Linked DNA regions of Rhinolophus ferrumequinum. The protein of the gene in region 2 interacts with the protein of the main gene of each other region in a pairwise test. Links are inferred from orthologs where the notes say so. Each region holds a gene or a part of one and is shown on either strand. Other genes may lie near its edges. The genes, in order: SUV39H2, APPL2, RAB22A and CRADD.

Region 1 (6,865 bases), on a different chromosome or scaffold from region 2:
AGTTTTACACATTAAGAAGAGCTTTGCTTACTTTTAAGGTTCTTTTTATCTTACAGAAATATGAAATACTGAAGTCTGATTAGGTCTCTTTTAAGGGGCTAGATATTTGCCTTACCTTTACTACCTTGTAGTCACACAAGTATTCCACCTCATAATTGTTTAGATTCCTTTTGGTGATTCCAATCGATTTACATGTGAGCTTTTCTTTTCTACATAATTCCTGAAGAGTATCAAGTGAAACTAGGCAAGGCACACACCAAGCTACAATAAGAAAATAGAATTCTTTACTAATGAAATAGCTACTAAATTAAAACAAAAAAGGAAAAGGAAAAAATTTAAGACCTCTATATCCCCACCATTCTACTGGCAATTTTATAGGACTAAAAATTCATATGACAAGAAACCATTTCTGTGTCTTCAAGAAAAAGTTAAGCATTAAAGAACTATTTAGGTAAATTGGTCTTCTTGGGTTTTCTCCTGGGTTTCTATCCTACTGTGTTTAACTGATGCCAATTAATTTCTAGTGAGCCATCTGAACAAACTGTTCATGTCTGTAAGGTTTAAGATTACATATAGTTGCAAAGGTCAAAAGAGAATATTTTTGACTTCTCCATTATATTCTACATAGAATATAATTTGCTATTTTAATAAAATGTAGATCTCCAGGACATGCTCATTGTTAGAAACGCATCTTAAATGTATTTTAAAACAATCTTATAATTTGTTAAACAGGTAACTTTTCCCCATTCTCTTAAATAAGAACTGAAATCTAACTGAAATATACTTCTATAGTCACATACTCATACATCACATGGCCTACTTTTCCCACTTTGCAGTGTTGCAGGAAATTTTAACTCCACTTATTATTTTGCCCAGGCTGCAATGAATCAAAGTGAATAAACCCAAGCGTCATAATAATATAATGGAGAGTATATTGATTTTTGTAATACTCATTTCCTGTACTGTTTTTAAAGCCAAGAATTACAAAACAGAGTATTCAATTTACTTGACCCATATACCAAGCTTGAAGACACACTCATAATCAAACTTACAGAAGAAGCCAGGAACTGCTGCCGATTTTACCCTCAAATTTCTGCAAACAGTATGCTACCATACTGCATGTAAAACATGCTAACACAAAGTGATGTTTAGAAATCTGTAACAAACTTGGTTTTATGGCGAGTGTTATGGTAAGCACTAGAGAGGATCAGAGATCCTCTGCCCTAGCCTTTGGTAGGCCACCTAAGCTACGTGATTTCAGTGAGGTTTTCAGAGTTCTGGGTTTCAGATTCACTGAAAAAAAATGTGAGGGTTGGAGTCAATTGGGGTTACCAAACAAAATCTATCAGGAAACTCAAGCTTTACTTGGCAGCTCTTCAAGGCAGTTGTGATAACCTTGTGTTTTGAGGTAATTTACAGAAAACACAGCTGCTCTTACTATATATCCATTCCTCACCCTCAGCTCTGAGACTTCATCGTCCAAACCCTGGAAGCATGATTTCCACCCATCCCCACTTCCTACAAAGCACTCATAATTCTAGACCAAGATATTTCCCCCCAAAAAAAAAATTGGGAGGAGAGGTTGCTTGTTTTGTAGTGGTGGTTTCGGGGTAGGAGAAATGACCCCCTTAAATCCTTTCCATTAAAAATCTTAAGGATGTTTTGTGTCAAGTGAACCTCCTTACGCTGATCACACGCAAAGGCGGTTTGTCTGCTGTTCCTACCATTTTTAGCTAGTTGAAGTCATAAGAGGATTCAAGACACGACCCCCTATGGAAATGCTATTGAGCGTAAAAAACAATGGAACGTAAGAAACTGAAATCTCTTGGCAACAATTTCGATTATGATAATGTAGAAAAATTCATTTTCAAGATTAAACATTTCATTACCACCACAAAAACCTCAGAACAGTTCACACTAAGCTCTAATGGAGGAAAAGTTTGTGGATGATGAGTTCATAATCTTTGTGGCGAGTAGTAGTATTGGAAAACACCTTTAAATTCTAAAATACAATGAAAGTTCCAGTCTTTCAAAGCGCGCGCGCGACAAAAACACACCCCCGTTCGGTACCTAATTCTTTGGCGTCCAAACATAACCAACACGCAAGTTCCTGGCGGGTATAAAAATCACCCTAAGCCAGAGGCTACATCCTCAAATACCTACTTAGTTGGACATTCTCCGACAAGGAATTTAACCTCCTAGGGCGGCCGAATTGGGATGTATGTTCGCTTAGCTCCTTTCTAGCGGTCATACTGCAGCCCCGATTTCTCTCTTTCCTGATACTGAGGTCACATTTACACTACAGGGTTCTTCCCGGCTCCCAATTACAAAGCCAGCCAGAACACTAAACGACCCGCTCAAACCACCACAAAGGAGTCAAGCCACACGCTCGCCCACGGGAACTCGAGTCGCCCCGCCACCCCCCAGGGATTAGAGGGAGCCGCGGCAGGAGCCCAAATACCTCCACACGCACTGGGCGGGGAGAGGCCGCGGGCCCCACGGGACCTCGGCTGGGCAGATCCCGGCGCGCAGGCCAGGGCGCAGGGGTACAATGCGGGGAGCCAGCGGGCCGAGCCGCGAGAAGGGTCAGGGAACAGAGAAGGGTGAAGCCCGTGGGGCGCATCTGGGGGCCCAGGTGTCTCCAGGGTGGGAGGCGGCGTCTCGCCTCGTCGCGCTCTGCCTGGCCCGCGCGTCCCGGCCCGCCTCCCGGGCCTGAGGAGTTTGCCTGGAGAACGGGGGGTAGTGAGGGGCGCCGCTCTCCAGCCCTCACCTCCTCGCGTGTCGGCTCCGGCCGCCGCCATCTTGAGGAGCTTTCATTCAAAAAGCCGCGGTCTGTCGGGATAGTTCAACTGGCCGGACGCCCCGCCCCTGGCCGGTCCGCGCGGGAGTCGGGGGCCGAGGCTGAGGGGCTAGAAACCGCGAGGCGTGCTGACGTCACCGCAGGCAGACCCCGGACGCAGCAGCGAGCGCGCCTGCGCCCACGTCGCATCCCGGCGCGTGGGGACGGCGCGAGGCCAGTGGTGAGACGGGATCCACGGGCAGGGGCGTGGCGCACGGCGGAGCGTGGGGGCGGGGCGCGGCAGGGGGCGCTCGACTAGGTTAGCAACCACCTGCCTCAGGCTGGCTGGTTTAGGGTACTCCTGTCAATCCTTCCCACACGTTTTGTTTTACATCGGCGCTACGTGTACATTGTGCAAAATTCAAAACGTAGAGCAGAGCTATATGGTGCTTTTGCCTCCCATGCCTGTTTCTCAGCTACCTGAGTCCAACTAACGATTGTTTCCTTCCATGCTACTCCCCTAGATCACAGGCTCTCAAAATTGGCCGCACGTTGGGATCTCTTGGAGGGGTTTTGCTATGTGGTCCCACTCGGAGAGATTGATTTAATTGGTATGGGGTGTGATGTAGGCAATGGCATTTTTACGGCTCCCCCGGTGATTGTAGTGTGCAGCAATTTGTAACGACCGTCTAGATCAGTGCTTTGAACACTTGAATGGACATTAGAAATCATCTGGGGATCTTGTGAAAATGCAGATTTGAATTAGGTAGGTCTGGGCTGAAACCCGAGGTTCTGCGTTTCCAACGAGCTCCCAGGCTATGCCCCTTGATGGATGCCTCTCCATCCGGCCACAACTTGCCACCGCTAGGCTGCGGTGACACCCAGGTCCTCTAGCAGGACAACTCCAGGAGCTTCTGTCGGGTCTGGAACCTCTCCCCGCCCCCATCCATTCTTCACACCGCTTCCATGGTGATTGTTCTAAACAATCTAAAGCAGAAATCTTAGAAGTAGAGTAAATGCGAAAACTTCAGTAGAAAGTCGTCTGGCATCTAGACAAGTTTAAAAAGAATTTTATGTAAAATTACAAAAAAATATTTCAAAGCATCATGTATAAATTTGAAATATTGGAAATAAACAGAATATTAAAGGAATTAATTTGTTTGATTCCGTTATGAAATACTACCTAGCCATTAAAAACGATCTTTATGAAGCCATTAGTATTATGTGGGAAGTGTTTACTATGTTAAGCAAAACAAACAAAAACCTGTAAAATACAGAGTTTCAACTATGTAAGAAAAAATGTATAGGAATATAAATATAAATTCTCTGGGTTGTGTTTTCCTTTTTGATTTCTCATTTTTTAAATATTTAGCCATTATCTATAATGAGCATTTTATAACCTATAGGAATAATCCTAGCAAAGATAGAAATGTAGACATTTTCTAGGCAGAGAAAACAGAAATGACCAAAATCCGGGGGATGGGGAGCAGGGAATATTCAAGGAAGTTAGGAATTAGAATGGGAGGAAATGATGAGCAGTGAGATCTGAGAAGTGGACAGGAACCCTAACAAAAGGGGCCCCCATGTGATAGGGTCGGATGGGGCCTTTCATTCCTTAATAACAAGGTGAAAAGCGGGGGAGGCTTAGAGCCTCACCTTCTTGCTAGGGCTTGTCGCCCTCTCCCGTCCCCAGTGTACTCACTGCCTCTCCTATATGTTCTTTCAGCACCCTCACGAGCATCCATTCTTACTCAATTTCTTTCTTAGGTTTCCTTCTTCCTCACTGGCCACTCTTCCCTCCTCTTTCTGGCTCCCTTTCCTCTATCCAACCTAAATTCTGGGGCTCCTCAGAGATTGGCCCTGATACATTTCTCTTATGCTCTCTTCCTAAGTGACTCAGTTCCCATGGATTTAAGTATCTTTTTAAACTTTTTGTCTCCAGCCCTGACCTCTGGTCTAAATTCCAAACTTTAATATCCACAGTACCTGGTTGACATATCCACTTAAGTGTTGCACAAACACCTCAAATGGAACATACTCATAAAAGTACCCTTGATTTTTGCCTCCAGGCCTGGTCTACATAGGTGTTCAAGAAGGGAATCTGTGTCATCTTAAGTCACCCTTTTCTCATTCTCCAAATTAATTCCATTAGCAAGTCATGTCAATGGTTTGTCCAAAATACACCTTGATTCTGTCTCATTTCTCCATTGCTACTTCTATTACTTTCGTACAGGCCATCATTTCTCAACTGGAGTCCTACAAAAGCCTACCTGGTTTCCCACTATTGCTCCTGTCCAGTCCACTTTCCACACAGCTGCAAAAGTGACCTTAAAACATAAAGTGGAACGGTTGCCTCTTCTGCTTGAAATACTTCCCAGTGGACCTAGAATAAAACCCACTTTCCTACATGATCTTATGTGATTAGAACTCTGCCTCCCTAACCGTGTTTTGCCACCTTCTGTGCCACTCTCTCCTTTGCTCACTATTCTCTAGGACTTTTTTTTGCTCATTTAAAAATCTTTTATTGTTCATTTCCTATGTGCCAGGCACTGTACGAGCTGCTGGGAATATAACAGTGGACAAGAAAGAAAAATACCCTGTCCTCCTAGAGCTTATATCCGATTGGGAGGAGCAGATAAACAAGTGAGGAAATAAGTAACTTACGGCAACTCACAGTTACTTCCTAGGTGAGGATGCACTCCTCCCCTTCATGTGGCTACCTTCTTATCACTTTGGACTCAGCTTAAATGTCACTTCTTCAGAGGCCTCTCCTGGTTACCCTATCTAAAGTACGTACCTCCTGTCTGCCATTCTCTCTTCTTTGCTCCCTTAAATGCACTTGTCAAAATCTGCAGTTACTTGTCTGTTTTTTGTCTTGATCAGTTTCAGTAAAAATCTATAGAATGTATTAGACTCTTTTGTAAATCAATTATTTCCTTCATTTTTCTAGTCTTGAATCCCATTAATTCCAGGGGATTAGGCCTTGTCTCTTCAACATGCATTGCTGTGTCTCTACTACCTAGAGCAGCATCGCTCAAGGTAGGGTACAGGGACCCCGAGACCTGTGCCCTATCAGGGGATCCTAAATGCAAAACTATTTTCATAAGAAGACCAAGATCTTATCTGCCTTCTTTACTCTCCTCTCGCCAGTGTACAGTGAAGTTTTCCAGAAGTCTCACAACTTGGATATTGCAGATTGAAGAAGCAGATACCAGAATAGAGCTACTGTTTTATGCCAGATATTACAAAGATTTGAAAAAATAGAAAACAATACCATTCTTGCCACTGATTTATTTCTCATAAAAATGTTATATAGGTTAACATAATGTTTTTTTAATTTAAAATGGTTAAGATCTCTTAGTTTTAATTTCTATATGGAGATATATTATATATTGTATATATCTGTCTATATCCATACACATATCTATATCTATATATATCACTAATATAAACAAAAACTCTTTAGGTTTTCAATAATTTTTAAGAGTGTAAAAGCCGTCCTAAGACTGCTTTTTTTTTTGAGGATCTTGGTAAATCCTGGCTATAAATGGAGTGGGAAATCAAAAGCCATTGAGAGACATACATGAGTGTCAAGGGAAAAATAAAGAATTATGCCGGCAACCCACAATTTCTTTCATGAAGACCACTGAAAACATGATTTCTAGAGGTCCATGGATGTCTCCTCTTCCATTTAAATAAATGTTCTTCTTTGAGAGGCAAAGAATACTAGGATAGACACTTGGAAATGTGAATTTAAATGAAATAATGCACATAAAGTGCTTAGAATAGTAAGTAATCAAGCAAAATTAAGTTTACAGAAAAGCACCTGGATGTTAGTTCAAAATTCACTATTTATTGACTGTGAGACCTTGGATAAATTATTTAATTTTCTGAATATATTTCTACGTCAAGAACACAGAATTAATACATGCCATGGTGCTCTCTCTATAATACAAATACTCATGGAGTTGTAGGGAGATCACAATTTAAAAAATAAGATAATGAATTAAAGCAAATAAACAATAGCACTGTTATAAATGTTACATGGTCACTGTTATTTTGGAAATCCTGACATTTTCCCATGGA
Region 2 (7,272 bases):
AAGCAGACTCCTTACACAAAAGAGAATAAGCCCCTGAAGAAGTGTGAGCTGCAGCAGCTCAAAGCTGCACTTGTGTTCCTATCACAGCAGTATTCACACTGTACTGGGACTGCTGCTTTCCTTATCTGTCTCCCGGAACAGACTGTGAACCAGTGGAGGGCAGGCACCCTTAGCTCACCTGTCGCTACTTCCCAGCATCTAACAGGCCTGGTGAGGAGCAGAGGCTCCCAGACAGCAATGGGGATAGGCATCGTAATTCCTAAAACATTCTGCCTTTCATGTATCAGAGGTAACCAGAGATAACGTGTGGAGGCACATAGACAAGTCGTATAACAAAACATCATGCAGTAATGAAAAGGAGAAAATGAACAGATGTGTCCAAGGTCAAGAAACTGCTCTTCAGCTCTTCCTGGGTCACTGAGTTCAAATACAAAAGCTTTGTGTTCATTTAATGAATCTTGTGCAACCAGGTTACCAGAGCAACCCTCATAAATACTTAGCATAAAACTAGAGGAAACAAACAATATGTAGTTTCTTAGGATCTTTTCCCTTTTAGTGAAACAACATTTTAGGTCACCGATGACAATAAAGCCAGGTGTTAGGTGGCTGAGTTACCTTTAACAATACAGACGGTCTGGGTTCCAATCCTGACTCTGCCCCTTTGTAGTGGATAACCCTGGGCAAGTTGTAACCCTGGCAAGTTATTTAACCTCTGTGCTCCTTGGTAATTTTAACAGAGCACCTACTTCAAAAGATTGTTGGGGGCATTAAGTGAATTAATAATTTAGGTAAAGCATTTAGAACAGTGCCTGGCACATAACATGCATGTATGATATAGGTGTTTGCTATTCTTCTTATTCTTTATACACAAAATGAAGGCGTTGGATTAGGTTCCTTCCAGTTCCAAGTCCATGAGTCTCCTTGGGAGTAAAGCTGCATTAGGCGCATGCCCCATACAAGAGTGTTAAATAAATATGCTCTAATAATTATCAAAGACCTTCTTGAAAGTTAGCTGCCATCCAACAACCTCACCAAGAACCCTAGTAGGGTGACATCCGAGTCTCAAAAGCAATCACAAATTCCCCACCTTAGGAGGAACATTAAAGAGGAATGACAACGCCTCTGCACCTCCTCTTCCACATACAAGCTCAGAGTAACAAACTATGCAGACATGATAAAAATGTAAGCTTCTAAAGCCCCTTGAAGATCATCTGCTCCATGTTCCTCTCCTGCAGATGAGAAAACTGAGCCAGTCATAGGATGGGGATAAGTGACCTGACCAAATGATAAGTCAGTGTTAGAGCTAGAATTAGGACCCAGGTCCCCTGACTTGTTTGCCAGGCCTCTTTCTACTTCCTCACAGCTGAGCAAATCCTGTAAACCACTCTGAAATAATGCATATTGACTTATGTCAGAGTCCAAAATTCAGGTGACTTACGGGTTAGTGTAACCTCTCTAACCTGGTTCAGCCATCGCCACGTTCAGTTAGGAAAGCAATACATCTTTGTACCTCAGTTTCTCCAACTAAAAGCAAATGGAAATCCTCATTCAAAATCGTGTCGTAAGAAATTCTGTATTATCTTCGATCCTAAATAGTATGAGTGAGGATGGACGGAATGACTTCTAGTAAGGGTCCCATTTGGGATCCATTAAAATGCCAGAAGTCTAGAGACTTCAAAGAGGCCTTTGAAAAGTCAATTAGACCAGCAGATGCTAATTAAAAAAAAAAAAAATCACAGCTTGCCTATAGTTTCTTACAAAGAAATGAGTACAAGACAACGAAGCACACAGCTCTTTGACTAGTTATTCTGAACTGGAGAGAGGCAGAGTGGGCTGTAGGTAAGCCCATCAAAGGACCATCCCAGGACCACAATTCACTGCGAAGAAAAAGGAAAGGAACCAAAAAGAGAAGGGAAACTGTGAAAGGAAAACAGGTCAACCCTATTCTAATTTTTCACGAGTTGAGACACTAGGGAATAAAGAGACTTATTTAAATAACCCAGGCGTACAGAACCAGGAGAGTAGATATGAAGCTGGGGAAATGTTAATGGAAGAGAACAAACGTTCCCTGGGGAAAAGGTGCTCTGAATTATGAACCAATGTCATTCTGCACTTATTTGCTATCTTTACATACAAACTTCCACCTGCAGAGCTCAAAGAACTTGACTCTCATCTCACGTGCGCTAATGGGAGTTCTTCTGTGCCAAAAATGGAGCTGGTATTGTTAACTTTGTCTTCACAAATGGGAAAACGGTGCCACAGGGAGGCCTGGTACCGCTGGGAAAGAGATCCAGGCTCTGCCTCCCACAGTGGCCCGAAATCCACCAGTTCCCTCACCTCAGTAATAGCAGTAGTAATAATACCGGTAACTCCTTACTCTGTATCATTGTCAGCTAGCAAATTTACAGGCATTTCCTTATTTAATTCTAACAACTCCAGGAGGCTGGCACAACTATTATCCCTATTTTATAGATGACAAAAAGGTTCTTTGCCCAGGGCACTCGGCTAGTAAGTGGAGGAGCCGAAGTTCAGGCCGGCAGCCTCAGTTTCAGTTGAGTTTGGAAAGAGGTCATGACACAAAAGGCTCCGTAGGGGACTCCCGCGGGGTCTCCAGCTTTGCCAGAGGGATGCCCACTCCCGGATCATCCCGGGCTGAGGACGCAGGGCCGGGCCCGCCCCCTCCCCGCCTCCACCCAGGGGTTGGAGGGGCTCCCTCGGCCTCAGCTCTCCGGCGAGGGGTACTGGAGCGGCGGGAGGTACCTGGGGGCTGTCCTGCAACGCCTCCTCCAGCAGCAGCTTGTCTACGGCGGGCATGATGCCGCGCGGCAGGGCCGAGGGCTGGATGGAAGGGCCGAGGGCAGGAGGCGCGGCCGCCGAGGCTGCTCCGGGCTCAGGCGACCAGCAGACGCTCAGTGCCCGCGCGCGCCCACGCCCAGCCAGTGGCCGCCGCCGCCGCCGCCCGCCGGCCCTCCTCCCAGCCCTGCCCTCCGCGGAGCAGGATCAACAGGAAGTGTGGCCAGCGCCCGGCATGGCCGCCGGAAGTGTGGCGACCCGCTTCCGCCGCGCCCGCAGCTCGGGGGGAACCGCAGACCCTCCCGGCCGCCGAGCAGCTCTTTGAACGCCTGGGGTGTCAACATCCGCGGTTAAGGGGCCCCGGTCCTTATGCCAGTCAGTGCATAGAAAGCCCGAGAAGGGGAACTTGAGGGCGGAAAGATAAGATTTTAATCTCTGTGAGTACCCAGAAAACTTTTGAATCGAAGGAGACAGGTGCGAACAGATTTTGCTGCTGTGACTCGCCACTTTTTTAACGGAAGGAAAACCCTCATACTTCCTCACCACTTTTTCTAGATAAATCTCAGTATCCCCGAAACAGCCGTGAGAACAGAGAGGTTACCTAATTCTAGGAAAAACTGGATAACTGAATCATTTGTGATATTCAGACGTAACCATTTTTAAAACCATAGCACTTTGATGTGAGCAATATAACTTAGGTTTCATCCTCATGGTTTGCTATGTTTTGTCATTTTTGGAAAATTTCATAATCAAGTTTTTAGAATTGGAAAGTTTAGATGTCTAGTTCAGTGTTGTCACTTAGAAATGTAAAAAGAGGACCTGGAGAGTGAAGTGATTTGGTCAGGGTCAAACAGTTAATGAAAACTAGAGGAAGAAGGAGGACAGGAAGTAATAGGGGAAGATTGGCAAGTGTAATTTGGTGTTTTTTTGTTTTGTTTTTCTTTTTGTTTTTTTAATATCAAAGGCAGGGGTTTCAGAAGTTTCTTCTTTAGGAATCAGAATTTGTCTAATAGGACACTGTGGGGACGGAGTCCCAGAGAGCAGTTTCCAGGCTCTCGGCCTCACGTGGAAGGGTGCTGGCTCGGGTAGTAGATGGCTGTCAGCTGTGGCTAGTTGACCATCAGCTGTAACCAGTTGGCCAATTGGCCACTGATATGACTGCCACGGCTGCGTTGGTTGGTCGGTCAGTTGGTTGGCAGGCAGAGAAGTGAACAGCAATTTGCAGGTCGTGTGGATCCAGCCTCCAGTGAGACTATAGTGGTATGGCTCCACTATCTATGGCTCTGTGGGTGTTCCTTTTTGGCCTAGCCATATCCTGCATTCTTATGTGGGGAGCGGGACCAGAGACCCCACCTGACACTCTGCATGCCACCCTGCATAACACATGGCGCAGCGAGCAGGGTCCCCTGCACGACAAATAGCGCAGCAAGCAGGGTACGGTACCGGCCAAAGCTCTCAGAAGGGCGCTGGAGCAGTTTGTGCGTATGAACACTCAGTCGCAGGTAGATAAGGAGGAGCAGCTGCCGGAGAGCTGGACCCCGTGGAGGGGTGGAAAGACGTGGATGGTTCCCCAACCAGCACAGGCTGGAGAAAGCGAAGGTCATTGTGGACGCTTGCTGAGTCCTCCTTGGGAGATAAGGGTGAGTTCAAGGTCGTCCCTCACCCCAGGACAGCCCTGGCGAATGACTATGGACTGTGGGGAATTGCCTTCCATTCCTAATTTAATGGACCGCTTGACTGCTTGGGAACATACCACCATGTAGTAGAACTGGCGGATGTTTGTTTTTGTGTCTCGACCGGCCGCCATGAGAATATGTAAGCACCTTGACTGTGAGTCGCTGTTGTTCCAGCACAGTACCCTGAGAGGCCCAGAGAGAGTGGCAGTGCCCTGAGAGCCCTGGCTGAGTCCCAGAAGTCTGGCTGTGCCCAGAGAGTGGCAGTGCCCTGAGAGGCTCTGGCTATGCCCAGGGAGACTGGTGGTACCCTAAGAAGCCCAGGAAGTCTGGCTGTGCCCAGAAGTACTGGTGGTGCCCTGAGAAACCCTGGCTGTGTCCAGAGAGCCTGGCCGTGTCCAGGATATTGCATTCACCCTGCAGGCCGCCTCGCACAACAAATGGAACAGCAAGCAGGGACTCCCGCACAACAACAACCCAGCCGCCAGTGAGACTATAGTGGTATGACTCCGCTATCTATGGCTCCATTGGTGTTCCTTTTTGGCCTCACCATATCATGCATTCTTGTGTGGGGAGCGGGACCAGAGACCCTGCATGACAAGGACACATGTCACTAAAATCAACAGGCAAGATATGAAAAATTATATAAATTCTGTATTCTACAAAACACCGAGGTATATTAAGTCACAATCTGATTTGCAGACATCTCTGAAAGTCTGGTCACATCCTCTCTGATCACTTGAAAACTCCAAGGCCATTTTCTCCAGTGGGCTCTAACCAGCACAATCTTTGCTGAGCCACTGTGTGGCCTCTATGGGGAATCATCCAGCATCGTTTTCCCCATTATATTCTTTCTTCTTCTTGGGTAGAATAATGTTCATACCATGTATTTTCTTTTTCCTGTATTTTCTGTCAAGTACTATCCAGTTTACTCTCACCTCATACACTCTTCCAACTCTCTCCTCTCTGAAATCCTCTTCCACAAGATCATACTCAAACTTTTCCTTTCCCCTTGCTGGCCCCAAAGATCACTCCCTCCTCTGAACAGCCAGCACCTTGATTGTCTTTTAGCATATCTTACGCTGTAGCACTTTTTCTTTCTATGTGTAGGTCTTACTCCCTCTTTAATAACTCTCTCAAGAGCATAACATGTCATCTTCCTTTCATTCTGAATACTGAGACACATTATAACAAATAGATGTTTGCTGTTCATGACATGCTCAGTCAACTCTTTCCCAATTAAGAGAACATTTTCCCAACCTTCTATCTTGCTTTGTTCGTATCCTTCCATCCAACTGGAAAACACAACAGTTATTAGTTGCCTACTAGGAAAACAATCATGATCCTGCTGATGATAAGAATAGTATAAGATTGTACCAAGGGAAAGAAACACATTTTAGTTTGAAAATAGATTTTAAAAGGAGACTATGCCCTCCAGATACCTGGGAAGGTCTCACAAGTCCCTTTGGGAATCACCACATTTTTCATGTGTCACCTCATCTAATTAAAGTTATTTTTCCTCAAACACCAGCATTCAAAATTGTTTAAACTATGTTTTTACACAATGCCATTACTTTTTCACATTTTATTGCTACATTGTAAGCTAAACAGCCTTAGTGGGATTACTTGGCACTTAAGTATCATTTATAACATTGTTTCTGTGGGGGAAATGCATCCTAAATTCAAAACAAGTAAGTTACAAAAACAACTCTGGGACTACAACACATTTGCAAATTGTTCATGTAATTCATTTCTTTTATTTGTTTACCCAATCATCCATTCATTTAATAAATATAAATTGCTTAATGTTAAGCATTGTGTCTCCTACTTATTTTACTGTCCTTATTATGACTCATTTAAATTCTGAAGCCAAATATCCTCCCTTCAACAGATAATCTGCAAAAAATCATATAAGAGGAACTTTTATATAAGCAGGCACAAATTTTTAAGTTTCACTAAAAAGTATCTGTTCCTATTAAACTATTGTGAGGGTGGAATTCAAACATCCACCCAACTGTACCTGAAATCCCTGGACAGCTGGGAGGTTGGTAACAGGAAACACAAAGATGGACCATTTAGAGTTACCATGTCCTTTGGGGAGAGAAAGGAAGAACTCTATGGAGCTGTAACCTTTTACCCGGTGAAGGCCAACTGGGAAAAGGGCAGGAGCTATTTCCATAGGCACCTATCTGTGCGTCCCGTATTAACCTGGAGTTTTCAGAGTTTTTCAGTTTCAAATGAAAGAAACCTGACTTCAGTTAATTTAAAGAAAACATAAACACTCTGCAGTCTCTGGGAGAAACTGAGGGGTGAGGAGACTATATTTCTTAGATTATTTGTATTCTGATGACAATGATCCAGTGGGTGGGTGGGGGGGAATGCAGATACAGGAGAGTGAAGTGACAATTGCAGAAGCACAGTCCATGAGCAAACTAAAAGGAGTGGGTTCCAAATCACACATGAAGGGGATAGAAGCAGGGACAATGCATTCAGATTGATGCACATCACAGTAGATTGGTAAATTAACTGGAGGAGGATGAAGGAGTTCTTGTTGCTTTTATTTTCTCAGGAAAATAGGAAGCAAGGCCATTGGCTCAAAGCAATGATGAGAGGGTGTTGGAAGTTTGAGGATAAAGGAAAGAGTATGATAAAGTCATCTTTGGGCATGGGAAGATGAGGCATAAGTATTAATATTCCTATTTTACAGATGCTGCAACTGAGGCTCAAACAAATGACAGAGCCAAAGTTCCAAAGGCCAGGACTGTGCCTACTACACTCCAGGATATCTACCAATCCCTTCTGCATG
Region 3 (6,890 bases), on a different chromosome or scaffold from region 2:
TAGACCCCCCTCACTTTTTTTTACCCACCACTGACATACTCATACTCTTAAATTGTAATTGGCCAAGCACACCTTACCGATAGTAATACGTCTTCAGCCTCCACGTGCCATAAGCAAAGCCAGACACTCATAGGCCTTTACGGCTTTAAGGCACTGACTCATACAGCTCCACCTTCCACAAATGGTCCACCGAGAGGACGGATATGCCAAGCTAGCCCACACTGTCCGCTCCCAAGAGAAGGAACTTAGATTGCTTCAGCAAGCTAATTCCCCACAATTAAATCTTTTCTGTGCTGTGATGGCCCCAAGACTCATAACGATTTAAAAAAACAAGGTATCCATTCATTATGGCTTCTTTTTGAAGTTAGCCAAATTTAATCAAGAATCTCAAAGTCAATCAGACAAGCCTTCTAATCCATTATTGTCACCAGTAACAACATTAATTGAACACCTAGATCATGCAGGACATGAGTTATAAAAAGGATGACCTGTGTCTCTGCCCAAAGCGACTGACAGCCTAAATGGAGAGGAGACTGCATCCTTTAGACAAAAATGCCCCAGGAAGGCCACCTCAATCAACATCGCGCCCCACCATTAGGTCAAGCATATCCGTGAGGTCTGTGTGGTGGAATACAAAGAAGAAACAGAGGTTGGTGGCTCGTTCTATCGTTTATGACTTGTGCCGTGTTTAAGTGGCTCAGTTTTATCATCTGTAAAATAGGAATAACCCCACCTACCTCACAGAGTAGCAGATGTTAACACTGAGTCAGAAAATCTTCTATGAAAGCCTAGCAATGATGATGCTGATTAAACTAAATATGAATAAACTAATAATAAAAATCACTGAATACTCATTATGCTGGACATATGTTTTATATATACTATTTCATTTAAGCCTCATATCAGTCCTATGAGGCATCTCCTATTCTCATGTCATTTTGCAGATGAAGAAAATGAACAGAGTGAGTTGGTGATGTGCCCAGGCTGACACAACTAAAGGCAGGAAGAGGGTCACAGGACCTCAGGGTTTTTGCTGTCAATCATGGCAGGATAATTACTCCCAAATACCACCACTGTAAGGGATAAAGGTGGGACCAAGGGCAGCATAAATTGTTGGGGGGGGAGGCCCCTCCTATTATGGCTATTAGATCATTTATAAAGTCGTAAGATACAGCACCCCACAGCCCAAACCCCTGCTCAAACAGGAAGCCCCAAGAAGCTCCCAGAGTTGCCCTACCCAAGGCGTAGGTATGTTTGGAGCCATAATGGTGGTTTCCTTCCTTATTGGGCAAGTTTTCAGCCATCAGCTAAAGTATATTTAGGCGATCTTTATTACAAATCTCCAACACCCAATATTTATCCAAACAGGGCCAAAGTAAAATCATAATGATATTTTCCTATATAATCTCTTACTTCCTTTTTGTACATATAATCAAAAAAGACTGAAGGAAGCTAGCCATCAGGAAAGGGGTCCAACTGCCTGCGGCCACCATGCTTTGAGAAGCCCAACCCAGCTAAGTGGAAAAGGCACCTAGAGAACTGAGGGTCTGGCCAAGAGTCCCAGGGATCTCCTGGCCCACGCCATGGAGTGAAGCCATCCTGAACCTTCTCACCTTCAACTGAAACGTCTGACGCTTCTACATCACCCCGTCAACACACAGAATTGTTAGAAATAATAAAATGATGTTAGTCTAAGCCACTGTTTTGGGGTGGTTTGGTAGATAACTGAAACAGCCAGAAATCAGCTTTTTCAGCCAGGACAAATACCAAATCTACAAGTAACAGGTACGTTAACAGCAGCTCACTGTTGTTTATCCATCGAAAAGCCACATCCTTCCATTCAAGGGTGCCTATTGGCTGACACACTCCACTCTGTAAATCAGGGCCTGCACTGTACCTGGTTCAACAGTGTTAAATAAATATGAATAATGATCACATTAATAACAGTAACAATGGCAGCTACTACAGAGGGCGCCAAAAAAATGTATACACATTTTAAGAAAGGAAAAAACTATTAAAATTGTAATAATATATACCGATAACAAAAGATGAATACAAGTAAGTGACGGGTATACATTTTTTGGCACTTCGGTATTTACCAAGTTTCTTGCATACAATGCTTCCTGCTAAACTTTTTATTAATTTCACCTTCACAAAAGCCTTTTGAGGGGCAGCTGGTTAGCTCAGTTGGTTAGAGCGCAGTGCTCACAACAACAACATTGCGGGTTCAATCCCCACATGGGCCACTGTGAGCTGCACCCTCCACAACTAGATTGAAACAACTACTTAACTTGGAGCTGATGGGTCCTGTAAAAACACAGTTAAAATAAATAAAAGTATAAAAATAAATAAATAAAAGCCTTCTGAAGTGGACCACTATTATGCCCACTTTACGCATGAGGCCACTGAGGCTCAGGAAGGTACCGTGAGCTGGCCAGGATCACAGAGCCTATACAGAATGGCACAGGACTTCACCCTCTGGCCATCCGACTTCCACAACTCCTGCTCCTAACCATCAGCTTTAAGGCGCCTTGAAGGGTCATTCTACTTCAATCAAGTTGCCATCCTCTAAAAGAGATACTGCATGTAAAGGGCTTAAAAGTATGCCTGACCTATGGTAAAGCTTTCAATACACACCAACTCTTACTATTAGGCGACTTAGAGATGGGGAAGGGAAGAGCATACTAAGACTTCAATTAATGGTAGCTATTTTGATAGTTTGTGCAGGTCTCCTTCACCAGCAAGCATCCTGGAGTATGCAAATGTTCCGTTTACAAGTCTGGTCTCCCCACGGCTGTGAGCTCCCTGAGAGTACCCCTGATTCATCAGTGTCGGTCCAGGACTCCCCATGTGACCTGCCCTAGAACAAGGAGGTGCTCAAGGAATGCCTGTTGAACGGAAAGGAAATACTTCATTCACCACAAATGCGACCGGGCATTTCCAGGGTATCTCCCCCAGACATTAGTCCTGAAAGTAATTCCAAAGAAAAGGAGAGGGGCAGGGAGGGACAGGTGAAGGAGACCCACAGCAGAAATGCAGGCGTCAATGAGCAACTTGGGAGAAGTGATGGAGCTGAGCTTGTGGCCAGGACACTTGAAAAGCCTGTGCAACTCTGTGGTGTGGCCGGCCACACGGAGAGGGGAGCTCCCAACTCCCCCCCACTCTGAAAAGTCCCAGGGAAAAAGTGGATACCGTGGGTGGAACCCCTCACCCCGCCCCCAAAGTGGCCGCGCCTCCTCCCGTCCCTGCTCCGCCGCCGCTAGAGAAGGAGGATGAGGAAGAAGAGAAAGAAAGTGACAGGAAGTCAGAAGTTTCCCAACAACAAAAATCCTTCCCCCGAGGGGAGGGCTCCCCCTTCCTCAGCCGTCCGCCCTATGAGGAGGAACCGCCACAAATGGATAAAGGCAGTTGGGGGTCCCGCTCTTCTGGTCCCAACATAGAGGTCCTGACCTGTAGCACCCCTCCGCGTTCTGTACACCTCGAATTCTGTGAGAGGTTCCCAGGGGAGGGCGGGTGCGCCCCAACTGTTACTTACAATCGTCTAAGTCATCTTGCAAGTCCACAAAGTACAGGGGGATCTCTGAAAACCAAGAGACACAAGGAGTTACGAGGGGGCTGTGCCACGGGGGCTCAAGGGCGGGTTGGGGGCCCCCGGATCTCGCTGGGTGGTCGCGGCTAAGGAGGAAGGGGCCGCCCCTGCACCCCCGGAGTCCGGGCCCACTTACCCGCCATCTTGGGATGGGCCTGGAGGCGGGGCCGACGCGAAGGGGCGGGGCATCTAATCCCGGGCCCCGCCCCGCGCCCCCGGCCCCGCCCCAGGACCCACGAGCTTCGCGGCGCCAGCTGGGCCCCGCCCTCAGAGCGAAGGTGGCTGCCGAGGTGGGCGGGGAGGTCAGGTGACCCGGCCGGCGTCCCAAGATGGCGGCGGCGGCGGCGCCCGGGAGGCCGTGGTACCGTCCCGGCTGCTGAGGTGGGCCCCGCGCGGCTGGCGGCGGACAGGCCGGAACAAGGGCCCGCAAACGGGCGACCGCCGCCTCTGCGCGCCCCGCGGCCGCAGCCGGACCGTGCAGCGTTGGCGCCGTGGAATGCTTGTGCTGGGCCTGGCCTCTCCCTCCTCAACTTAGGGCGGCGGCGGGCCCGCGCCCAGGCTGCCGGGCCATGGCGCTGAGGGAGCTCAAAGTGTGTCTGCTGGGGGTGAGTGGCGGCGGGCCGGCCGGGAGGGCCGCGGGAGGCCGGGCAGGCCGGGGAGCCAGGCGAGCCCACGTCCCGTCCGCCCCTTCCCCCAGCCTGCGTGCGGGACGCCGCCTCCCTGCCCCGGGACCCTCCGTCTAGCCCCGGTGCCGGCCTGATCACTTTACCGCACCTTCCAGGAGGGCTTGCTGGCCAGAGAGACCCTCCCCCTTTTGCCTCCTGGAACCCAAGGTCTCTACCCGCCCCCTAAAGGGAAAAGAGCCGCGTCTCTCCGTTGCATCTAGGTTAAGAGCAGCTGTTAAATAGTTTCCTACCAAGGTACTAGTTAGGAGTTGGCCAGGTCTTCCAAAGTAAAACCAATGACAGGTCATTAGGTTTTACAGGCAGCATTAGTCTCCTTTCCCTTCTGTTTGGTGTTTTTGAACTTGTGGACTACCCCTAACACTTTTTTTCGCAGAGTTCCTTTCCTGGGGGCACGTTCAGATCAGGAAGCCCCAAAGACTGACGCTTCAGTTTCCTGTCTTATCTTAGGGCATCTTTGTCATTTCAAAGCATGCTTCCTGCAGTTGCTCCCTTGCCTCACTCAGCTGCTGTTGTAAAGACTGAAGAGGATCCCAATAACTAGTCTTCCCCCTTTCCAAGTAGGGTGGGGGCTGGGATTGATCAGGGATTACTCAGAAGTAATTCAGGAGTTCATAGTTTACTTACGTAAACTAGGAGTTCGTAGTTTACATAGTTACATAGTTTGCTTATGTTAAAAAGCAAGTGAGTTTGTCACTTTTCACACTAAGCAAAAACTTGGGGTCTTTCAGAAAGTCCGAAAGTCTCTTGAAAACTGCAAAACACCTCCTGTGCAGTTTGAAATCCGCTAATTACCGCTGAATTTTTGTGCAAACCTCTTCTGTGTCCCTAAACTTCTACTAAAGTTTACCTATCTGGGAGGAGTTTTCCAAAATCCTGGACTTAGGGCACAAGGTAGTTTTCGGGGTCTGCTAACAGGTAAACTTTTTCTTACTCACCCATCTCCTTCTCTTTCAGGATACGGGTGTAGGTAAATCAAGTATTGTATGGCGGTTCGTGGAAGACAGTTTTGATCCGAACATCAACCCAACTATAGGGTAAGAGATTAAATTTATTGAGTATACATCTAAAGGTGTGCTGAAAGTACTTCTAAATAAAAAGTGTGCTGCACGGTGGGCATCACCATTGTACACTCTAGTGAATTCAGAGACAGGGGTTCCCATCATCTCAGGAAGGACTTGAAAGAGTTCAGTGAGGAGTGCTGTGTTTTAAAAGAAAATTATCTTTTGTGAGGAGTGAAAACTTCAAAATGAAAATACAAATTAAAGTTTTGGTTATTAGACTACACGTAGAATCTTCAATCTATAAATAGTAACAGCAGTTACACCTTAAAATAAGGCAGATGGAAACAGGTCTGGATACTAGTTTTTTCGGGCATGTCAACCAAAAGGTATTTAGATGATTTTAGTTCTTCCGGAAAAGTGGATGGGGCCTGAACCTTTCTCACACATTCCTGCTCTAGTAAGAAATTAATAAGTTAATGTTGAAATGTAAGATTTTTTTTCAGGTGTCTTATTCTTTGGCCAAGTGACATTGACTATAGAGAAAACTTTTCTGGGTATTTAAATATTGTAATGTTAATACTTGCTCTGCAAAAAGTTGTGTTTCATAGGTTTTAATACTATGTTAGGCTTGTAAAACTGAATAGGGTTTACGCTATTTATATTGCAAACCCCCAAACAAATGGTTTCTTCCATTTGAAGAGAAAGTCTGTCCTGCCTAAAGGAGAAATACCTTACAGTGTACACATGCATGTTTGAAGGCATGGAGATAAAACCACCACTAACTGGGTGAAATTAAAATGCCTTTGAAGGTCCTTCTAGAAAGAACTGCTGGGTACGTGCACATGTTTAAAGCATGACCTCACCTTCCTCAGGGCCTGCCTGTTGCTACCTGCATGGGAAAGTGAAGTGACAGGAAGTGATAGCAAGGAGTGCTAGTGGTGACTCAGTGAGTGACACACTTCACACTGAGTCAGAGCTGAGAAGAACTCTGCACCCAAGTGCTGTCTCCAAAAGGGGCGAGAAAAGTGAAGGGTACAGCTCTGGCGGTTGGTGTGGCCTGACGCCCTACCCTGGGCATCCCCGCCTCCTTGTTTGTCAGCTCCCCCAGTCTGACAGATGCTGGGGGGGTCCCCGCTCTCTTCACCAGGTTGTCTTCGCTCACATTTCACAGGAAAGAGGAACGCAAGACTTTCCCCTTGTTTCCTTCCGCCTTTCCTTGTTTCTTTTTCCTCAACCTCAGCTGGTGTCTTCCTCCTTCATGAGCAACTCTCCACACACCTGGGCTCTGGTGACCCCCTCTTGATCAGGTCTCCCTTTTCCTCCCCAGCCCTGCCTTCTTGTCATAGCCTGCAAACATGCTCCTATCCTGCTCCGTAAAGTGAGTACCATTCCCCAACCCGCTGCTCAAATTGTGGAGCTCTTAAAAAAGAAGTTCCTACTTCCTCAACTGCTGGACACTCCTCAAACCACCATTGTCTCGATTCCACCCCCACCATTCCACTGAAACCACCTTCCCTGGGTACGGGTTTCCATCCACCTGCCAAAACCAGTAGCTTGTTTTTCCTTGATTCACTCATTGAGTGCCTACTCTGTGCCAGATGCTAGACTGGGTGC
Region 4 (6,927 bases), about 70 Mb from region 2:
AATTGCCAAACTGTCTTCCAAAGTAGCTGTGCCATTTCACATTCCCACCAGCAATGAATAAGAGTTTCTATTGCTTCGTGTCCTCACCAACCTTTGGTGTTGGAGTTCTTGATTTTGGCCATTCTAATAGGTGTATTTCCTTCTTTTTTAAGGATGATATATATAATTTAAAAAGAAGGAAATAACCCCCACCCTTTTATTTATATATATATATATATATATATATATATATATATATATACACACATATGTGTATATATATATATATATATATATATATATATATATAGAGAGAGAGAGAGAGAGAGAGAGAGAGAGAGAGAGTATCCCTTCATCATCGATGGACAATTAGGTTGCCCGTTGTGTATAATGCTGCAATGAACATGGGTGTGCAGATATCTCTTTGAGATACTGATTTCATTTTCTTTGTATCTATACCCATAAGTTGATCATATGATAGTGCTATTTTTAATTTTTTGAGGAATCTCCATATTGCTTTATCAACAGAATTGTTTGACTTTGTTTTTGCTCAGGAGCTTAAGAGTTGTTTTATTTAGTTTCTAAACTTATGGGATTTATGGAAGCTATCCTTTTATTAAAATTTCTGATTTTGTTGTAAAATGGTAGAGTCCATAGGTTGTATGCTGTTGACATTTTTTTAAAATTTATTGAAGTTTCTTTGTGACTTAATTCACGACCTATTTCTGTGACTATTTCAAGTATGCTTGAAAAGAATCTGTTTTTCTCCATGACTTAATTTCCACATCTATGAAACAGAAAGACCCCAAAATATCCAACTCCTTTGATTTTTGTTTTGAAGGTTGCAAAACCAAAGACTAAATGGAAAGACAGCAAAACACTACACTCATTCTTTCTGCTTTTTCACTCTTTTGCACACTCACAATGGGTATATTTTGATGCAAGTAAACATGGTAAGGGAGAGATCAAAAGGAAAATATCTGTCTTCCTGAAAAGGGATTGGTTACCACTGGGTAACGTGCTTAATCCTGTGTGGGGGCATAACTCCAGCCTAGAGAGAGGCACTGGACAGAGTGGAAGAGTAACCCCCTGCGATAGTGATTCTGCTCTATGTTAGATTCCTTCAGGGCTTGCTGACTTTACATATTTATACAGTAAAAATGAACCTTTTGTGTGCTGCTCAGAAGTATCATTGTATGCTAGGGTGGGTGGTAGTCCTCCAACAGGCTGACTGACAATATTTGGCTAGTCAGTCGGATAGCTAGCCTGGTCACTTAGGAGGCAGCATGGATGCTCATCTAAATTTGCCATAGGAAGAGGACTTTGATGGTGAAGGGCTTTACCTTATCGATTTAATCAGATCTTTAATGCCAACCCCTCAGCTCCTGCACTAACTCTTCTCATGCTGTCTCCCGCTCTCTTTTCTTCTGTTCATGAACTCTCATGGAACTCTCTGTTGGCTCCTCACCTACCCCTGGATGTCATCAACATCACTGTCTCCTTCTGGCTTCCAGGAGATCACAAACCTTTCCAAATACAAGTCATCAAGAAGTGTTTTAAACTAGGTAGTGCTATATGGGTTTTTCTTGTGCTATTTGTTTAACTTTACTATATGTTTGAAAATTATCAAAGTTTACAGTTGGAAAAACTACACATGTTTTTTTCTACCCCAAAAGTCAGTGACCTCAGTTGTTGGCAGTATCTGTACTTTATCTGGATGAAGAGCAAGAATATTGCTAACACCTGCCTATATATAGAAGGGAAATCTTGTCCAATTCCAGAACAAATGAAGGGGGAGAGAGGAAGAGCATACCTGGAACTTAAAAGTATCATCAGTGGGAGGAGGCACAGAATGATTTGCCAATATTTTGGCTGTCATTAGAAGAACAGACTCTTCACCACACAGGGCTGTGTGGTGTACAGTATACTGGAAATAGAATGAAACCAGAGAGCCCTGGTTAGAATTCAGGTTTTGCTGCATATTACCTGTGAGATTTTGGCTAAGACACTTGGCCACTTTTATCCACAGTCTTCACACATGTAAAATGCTAGTTATAATAATAATATTTGCCACCCATACAAAATATTGTCACTACTGGTATAGTAAAATGGTAGATTGGTATAATAACACTTTAAACTTGTTACAAAAATTAGAAGGTTTTGAGGAGTGAGATTTAGAATTACTCCCCATTGATTTGCTTACAAAGATATTTTCATCTTCCATTAGAGGTATTTGTTGTAAAAACCTCTATGGAAATAAGGACACTTAAGGTTTGTTTGTTTGTTTGTTTGTTACTGTCAAGTAATTTTTAGTACATCTATGACTGTCTGTATATATCATCCAATTGACTTAGAAGTGAATCAATAAATGCATTTATCGACTGCCTCATTTCTTAAAGGAATTTGAGGAAGGACCCTCAATTTGATACTCTTGTACCTGTCTATATTTGGGTCATGCACTTCTCTTGCCTTCCAAATTAAAAATATGGTCGACTCAGCAGATCTGTCCCCAATATCAGTCACTCTCTCTTTTTAGCATATCTTTCTGTGCTTCAGAAGCTGGAAAACTCCAAATTACATGTCCCAGACACTCTTGATGCTAATGTTCTGAATGCAAATTAAGTTTCACCAGTGGCATGCATCAGAATAAGATTTGCACGGTCTGTTTTGATGCTGTTGGCAAATACAGCTGTGGAGACCTTGGTTTTTCTGCAGTTGTGTTCCGTGTCCAGTCCTTGTTGTGTCAGTGTTGAGAAGACTAGAACTATGGAGTAGTGGCGGTTCCTGACTCCATCTTCCTAATTGTGGCCTTGAGCCAGTTTGTCAGTGTTGTTGATGGAGTCATGCTTGGATGCCCAGACCTTCTCCAGCCTTTCCAAAGATTGTGAATGTCTCCAATTCTAATGACAAATACCTTTCTGTCTAGAGTAGCTAGCTGATTGCTGCAACTGAATCCTGAATAACTGACTTGTAAACACTTTGTGGGCAGGAATCTTATTATATAAAGAAATTGAAGCAGGGCCTGGTTGGGAACCCCGTAGGAGAGGCCTCGCTGCATCCCCAGACTCACCTTTCCTTAACCTAAAGCCTAGTAATAAATTACCCCCTGCAGCTTGAGTCCAGAATGTCCCATCCCAGTTCCCTGTTTTAGAAAATTACCCTGAAGCTTATAATTAATACCCCATGCTTACTGATCACAATCTTTATGGCCTAGCATTCTTTCCAGGTTACTGTCATCACTGCTCCTGGGTTGATGAGCACGTGGGAAAGCCACATTGCCAGAGGGAAGGCTCCATGCAGACCCCTGGAACTATCATGGAGGAATGCCCAGATTTTCCCTTAAACATCCCAGGCTGGTCTGAGAATGTTAAGGTAGTTTTTAGAGGTGCTAACTCGCTGCCTTCTCAGACCACCGGTGCTCTGATAACAAACGTTTATTCTATGACCCAACTCCTGTGTCGGTTTATTGGCTGAGCGCAGGCAGCATGAGCCCTGGACTCCTTTGGCCTCCAGTTTCAAAATCACCTTGTATTTTATGTGGAGGGAAACAGATGGTAAATAAATGAGTAGGTAAAAGTTTTGGTAAGATGGTGATACCTACTACAGATAAAAATAAAGTTGGAAGATGGGATGCCAGTGCAGGAGATGGCTGTTGCAATTTTAAATAGAATGGTCAGGGAAGGCCTTGCTGTTAAGTTGACTTTTCAGACCTATTATTTCAATTGTGTACTAGGCCGTGATGGAGTTACTGTGTTAAAATGCAATTATCCGATTACTTTTTCATTAGATAACCCCCTAAGTGATGCTACTATTTTTCAGCTCCAGGTGGCTAGATTGTTTACCCACAGCAAATATGGCGGAAAAGGCTTCACTCGGACACTTGGCCCCAAATAAAGATGGTTACAGAACTTCCTGTGTTTGCCCTTAACAAAAATGGCGACAACACTTCCTGTTCCCGGCTTTCGCCTTTAACAAAGATGGTGCTTGTGGTATAGGTTCCCTAACAGTCTGGATTCCGGTTGCAGGGTATTTTTGTTTTTTTTTTTGTTTTTTTTTGGTTAAGATACGTGTTTGCAGACGTAAGTAACAGGAAACCAGAAGCTCCGTATTCATCTTTTCTCGAAGGCCCCGCGCCGTCGCGTCTGCGGCCTGTGCCGGGCGTGGCTCCCCCGCACCCCTATCCTGCTCGGGACCTCCCGAGCTGGGCCGGGTTGGGGTGGCGGTGGGGGTGCCCGAGGCCCGCTCTCCCCCCCGGTCCGCTCTGAAGGTCATTCCCAGCACCCTCTTTTAAGCGGGTCAGGTTGCCGCGAAAATCGCTTAGTTCTTCCTGTTCGTAATATTACAGGGCTTCAGCTGGAGAGGCAGGAAATACAAAGAAGTTCCAAACGGGCTCTGGCTTCCAAAAGTGCACACCCTGCTCCTCCCCTACACCTGCCAGACTTCACTGAGGGCTGCTGGGAGGGGAGGGGAGGGGAGGGGAGGCCTGGGGTGGGCCGGGCTTGCACTCTCCGGGGTGTGTGGAAGCCCCATCGGCCTCCCCTACCTCCCCTCCTCGCCCCTCGTTTCCCCTCATAGTCTGCACACAACCTCCCCTCAGCTCACTGGTTCAGTGGTCTTGCCAATATGCCTTCAAATCGTGCGTGGCTACTGACCGGGACTGGCGTGTGGACATTTTTCTTTCAAAGAAAAAGAAATCCATTAAAGGTCCCATACATGTGTAGCCACCAGTGTAGTGATGGAGATCCTGCATTCTTACAGAGAAGGGATGGAGTCTGACTAAAAGGTTTACAGTAGACTGGGCACAGACACTTCAGTGTTTTTTTGAAGGTGATGGCGTGTAGGCCTTTTCTCTTAGGGGAAAAGATCCTTCAATGTATTGGTATCCGCTGGTTTCTGCCCACCATGCCCATTGCTGCGGAGGTTCTGCAAATGCGCATGTTCAGAAGCGCACCTGCGTGTATACTGGCAGTTTCTGCTGTGATTGGGCAACTGATGAAGGCAGTGTTATAATTAAAAACCCAGTATTTTTGCTCAAGTATCTTAAAATGAAATGTTGCTCTGTAATCCTCGGATGAAAGTTGCTTCTTAAGCAGGGTCTCTGACCCACTTTCCCTCCAAATCTCTTTATAGAACAAGATAATTGAGCTAAGATCCCATTGTGTGGAAGAGCAAAAACAGAAAAGATGATTCATGTTCAGTGTTGTTATGTTCAGAAACATTTGAAATTAACTTGGCTGGGCTAAACACCATGGCCTGGCAGTCGGCTGAAGTTCAAAGCTATCCATGACCTTAAGGAGCTTGCATCGTAGGACCCTATCTTTAGGGGCTCATCAGTATTCCTGTAATCTGAGCTACAATTTTGTCTCTTTCCAGGGGGAAATGGAGGCTAGAGACAAGCAAGTGCTTCGTTCTCTTCGCCTGGACCTGGGTGCAGAGGTACTGGTGGACGGACTGGTTCTTCAGTATCTTTACCAAGAAGGGGTCTTGACTGAAAACCATGTTCAAGAAATCAAAGCTCAAGCCACAGGCCTCCGGAAAACAATGCTGCTGCTGGATATCCTACCTTCCAGAGGTCCTAAGGCATTTGATGCATTCCTAGATTCCCTGCAGGAATTTCCCTGGGTCAGGGAGAAGCTGGAGAAGGCAAGAGAAGAAGCCATAACCGAGCTGCCTGCAGGTAGGCCCCCAAGGAGATCACTTCAAGCCAGCTCCAAAATGGTTGCACTATGGCCTTTGGATTGGAAATTAGGGTTTTAGGCTGGGAGGGGATCGGCAGTTCCTGAAAGTGGATAAGGAGTTTGGGCGGAAGGCACATGGCATTAGAGGGACGGGATGAGGAGATGGAATTAGGAAGTGCAGGGAAGGAAGGAAGGAAGAATGCAGCATGATTGAGAGGGTGAGGAGGGAGGTCACAGGGTACGTTTACAAATGCTTCCAGGGAAATTTGGCAAGTCTCTTGGGAGGCATGTTCTCCTTGGAGAGCCAGGTCAGACCTCAGCCCTTGGCATCAGGAGCCATTTGGAAAGTGCAGATGGGAAAGCAGGCATTAGGCCTTCTGATGACTGCTTCACGGGGTGCCAGAGCTGCTGGCTGGGAAAGGTCAGGTTTGTGAAGGACAGAGCAGCCTTTAGGAAGGCATGCCTTGCACCTGTTCCTCGGGCTGTCCTACGTGGCCAAAGGGGATTGTTTGGAAGGCTGGCTGACTTTGTTTTTAAAGGTTATTGATTTAACGTTGTCCTTTTTAGTTTGGTTTTATTCAGACACCCAGAGTACTTAATTTTGTAAGGACAGTAGTTTGTGGAGGGTCTCATTCTAATTTTAAGGAAAGTTGCAAGCTATGGAAAAGAGAAACGGTCCTCGTGCCATTAACTTGGCTGATAGCAGGAGGATGTGATACGGAATATTTGTTCCCTCTTAACAGCTCCCATGACTTACACTTTTCACAAAGACTGAGCAGTATAGAACTGAACTGACAAAAAATTTGAAAGTTGACAAGAGTTAGGAAGTCAACATTCTCTGGCGTTTTGATAGCAGTGATAGTTAGAACAACTTCAGGTCAGTGGTCCCCAGACTGTGTTGTTCCTGTTTTTTAAATAACAGTATAACTGGTTAAAAAGCAAATACCAGTAATAAAAGACCACTTTTATTATTTTGGCCTCATGGACCTCATATTCTGAATGATTTTCCAGACCACATGTATTAAGTACTCATGATTAATTCTTCTATTTTTATTAATGACTGAATATCTAATCAGCATGAGATAATCTGTTAACTTAGAAAGGCCTAGTTAAATCCCAGTGGAAAAAGAAAACAATGTTTTAATTTACTAGCATGGCCAAATTACAGGCAAATGTATGTTTTGGGCTTTTTGAAGTACTGAAAATAGCTGGCCTTTTGAGAACCACTGGAGTTCTCAGGTTTGATTGTCCTTACAAAATTAGATAGGTG

Evidence for each region.
Region 1: the proteins of APPL2 (region 2) and SUV39H2 interact in binary tests that used the Homo sapiens proteins (3 or more experiments, as listed by UniProt). The link is inferred for Rhinolophus ferrumequinum from reciprocal best matches to the Homo sapiens genes APPL2 and SUV39H2.
Region 3: the proteins of APPL2 (region 2) and RAB22A interact in binary tests that used the Homo sapiens proteins (3 or more experiments, as listed by UniProt). The two-hybrid records come from large-scale screens. The link is inferred for Rhinolophus ferrumequinum from reciprocal best matches to the Homo sapiens genes APPL2 and RAB22A.
Region 4: the proteins of APPL2 (region 2) and CRADD interact in binary tests that used the Homo sapiens proteins (3 or more experiments, as listed by UniProt). The two-hybrid records come from large-scale screens. The link is inferred for Rhinolophus ferrumequinum from reciprocal best matches to the Homo sapiens genes APPL2 and CRADD.

What each region holds. Positions count from the first base shown.
Region 1 is NW_022680355.1:1,428,887-1,435,751, reverse strand, and holds the start of SUV39H2 (histone-lysine N-methyltransferase SUV39H2), read right to left. Parts: upstream 3,006-6,865; 5' UTR 2,771-3,005; intron 257-2,770; exon of another isoform or gene 116-256; intron 1-115. UniProt on the Homo sapiens protein: Histone methyltransferase that specifically trimethylates 'Lys-9' of histone H3 using monomethylated H3 'Lys-9' as substrate.
Region 2 is NC_046293.1:14,984,280-14,991,551, reverse strand, and holds the start of APPL2 (DCC-interacting protein 13-beta), read right to left. Parts: upstream 3,023-7,272; 5' UTR 2,815-3,022; coding exon 2,761-2,814; intron 1-2,760. UniProt on the Homo sapiens protein: Multifunctional adapter protein that binds to various membrane receptors, nuclear factors and signaling proteins to regulate many processes, such as cell proliferation, immune response, endosomal trafficking and cell metabolism.
Region 3 is NC_046306.1:3,908,167-3,915,056, reverse strand, and holds the start of RAB22A (ras-related protein Rab-22A), read left to right. Parts: upstream 1-3,881; 5' UTR 3,882-4,158; coding exon 4,159-4,194; intron 4,195-5,229; coding exon 5,230-5,309; intron 5,310-6,890. Other genes in the region: serine/threonine-protein phosphatase 4 regulatory subunit 1, read right to left, coding at 3,536-3,580, 3,726-3,732. UniProt on the Homo sapiens protein: Plays a role in endocytosis and intracellular protein transport. Mediates trafficking of TF from early endosomes to recycling endosomes. Required for NGF-mediated endocytosis of NTRK1, and subsequent neurite outgrowth.
Region 4 is NC_046293.1:84,803,609-84,810,535, forward strand, and holds the start of CRADD (death domain-containing protein CRADD), read left to right. Parts: upstream 1-3,910; 5' UTR 3,911-4,005; exon of another isoform or gene 4,006-4,058; intron 4,059-4,617; exon of another isoform or gene 4,618-4,806; intron 4,807-5,352; 5' UTR 5,353-5,358; coding exon 5,359-5,656; intron 5,657-6,927. UniProt on the Homo sapiens protein: Adapter protein that associates with PIDD1 and the caspase CASP2 to form the PIDDosome, a complex that activates CASP2 and triggers apoptosis.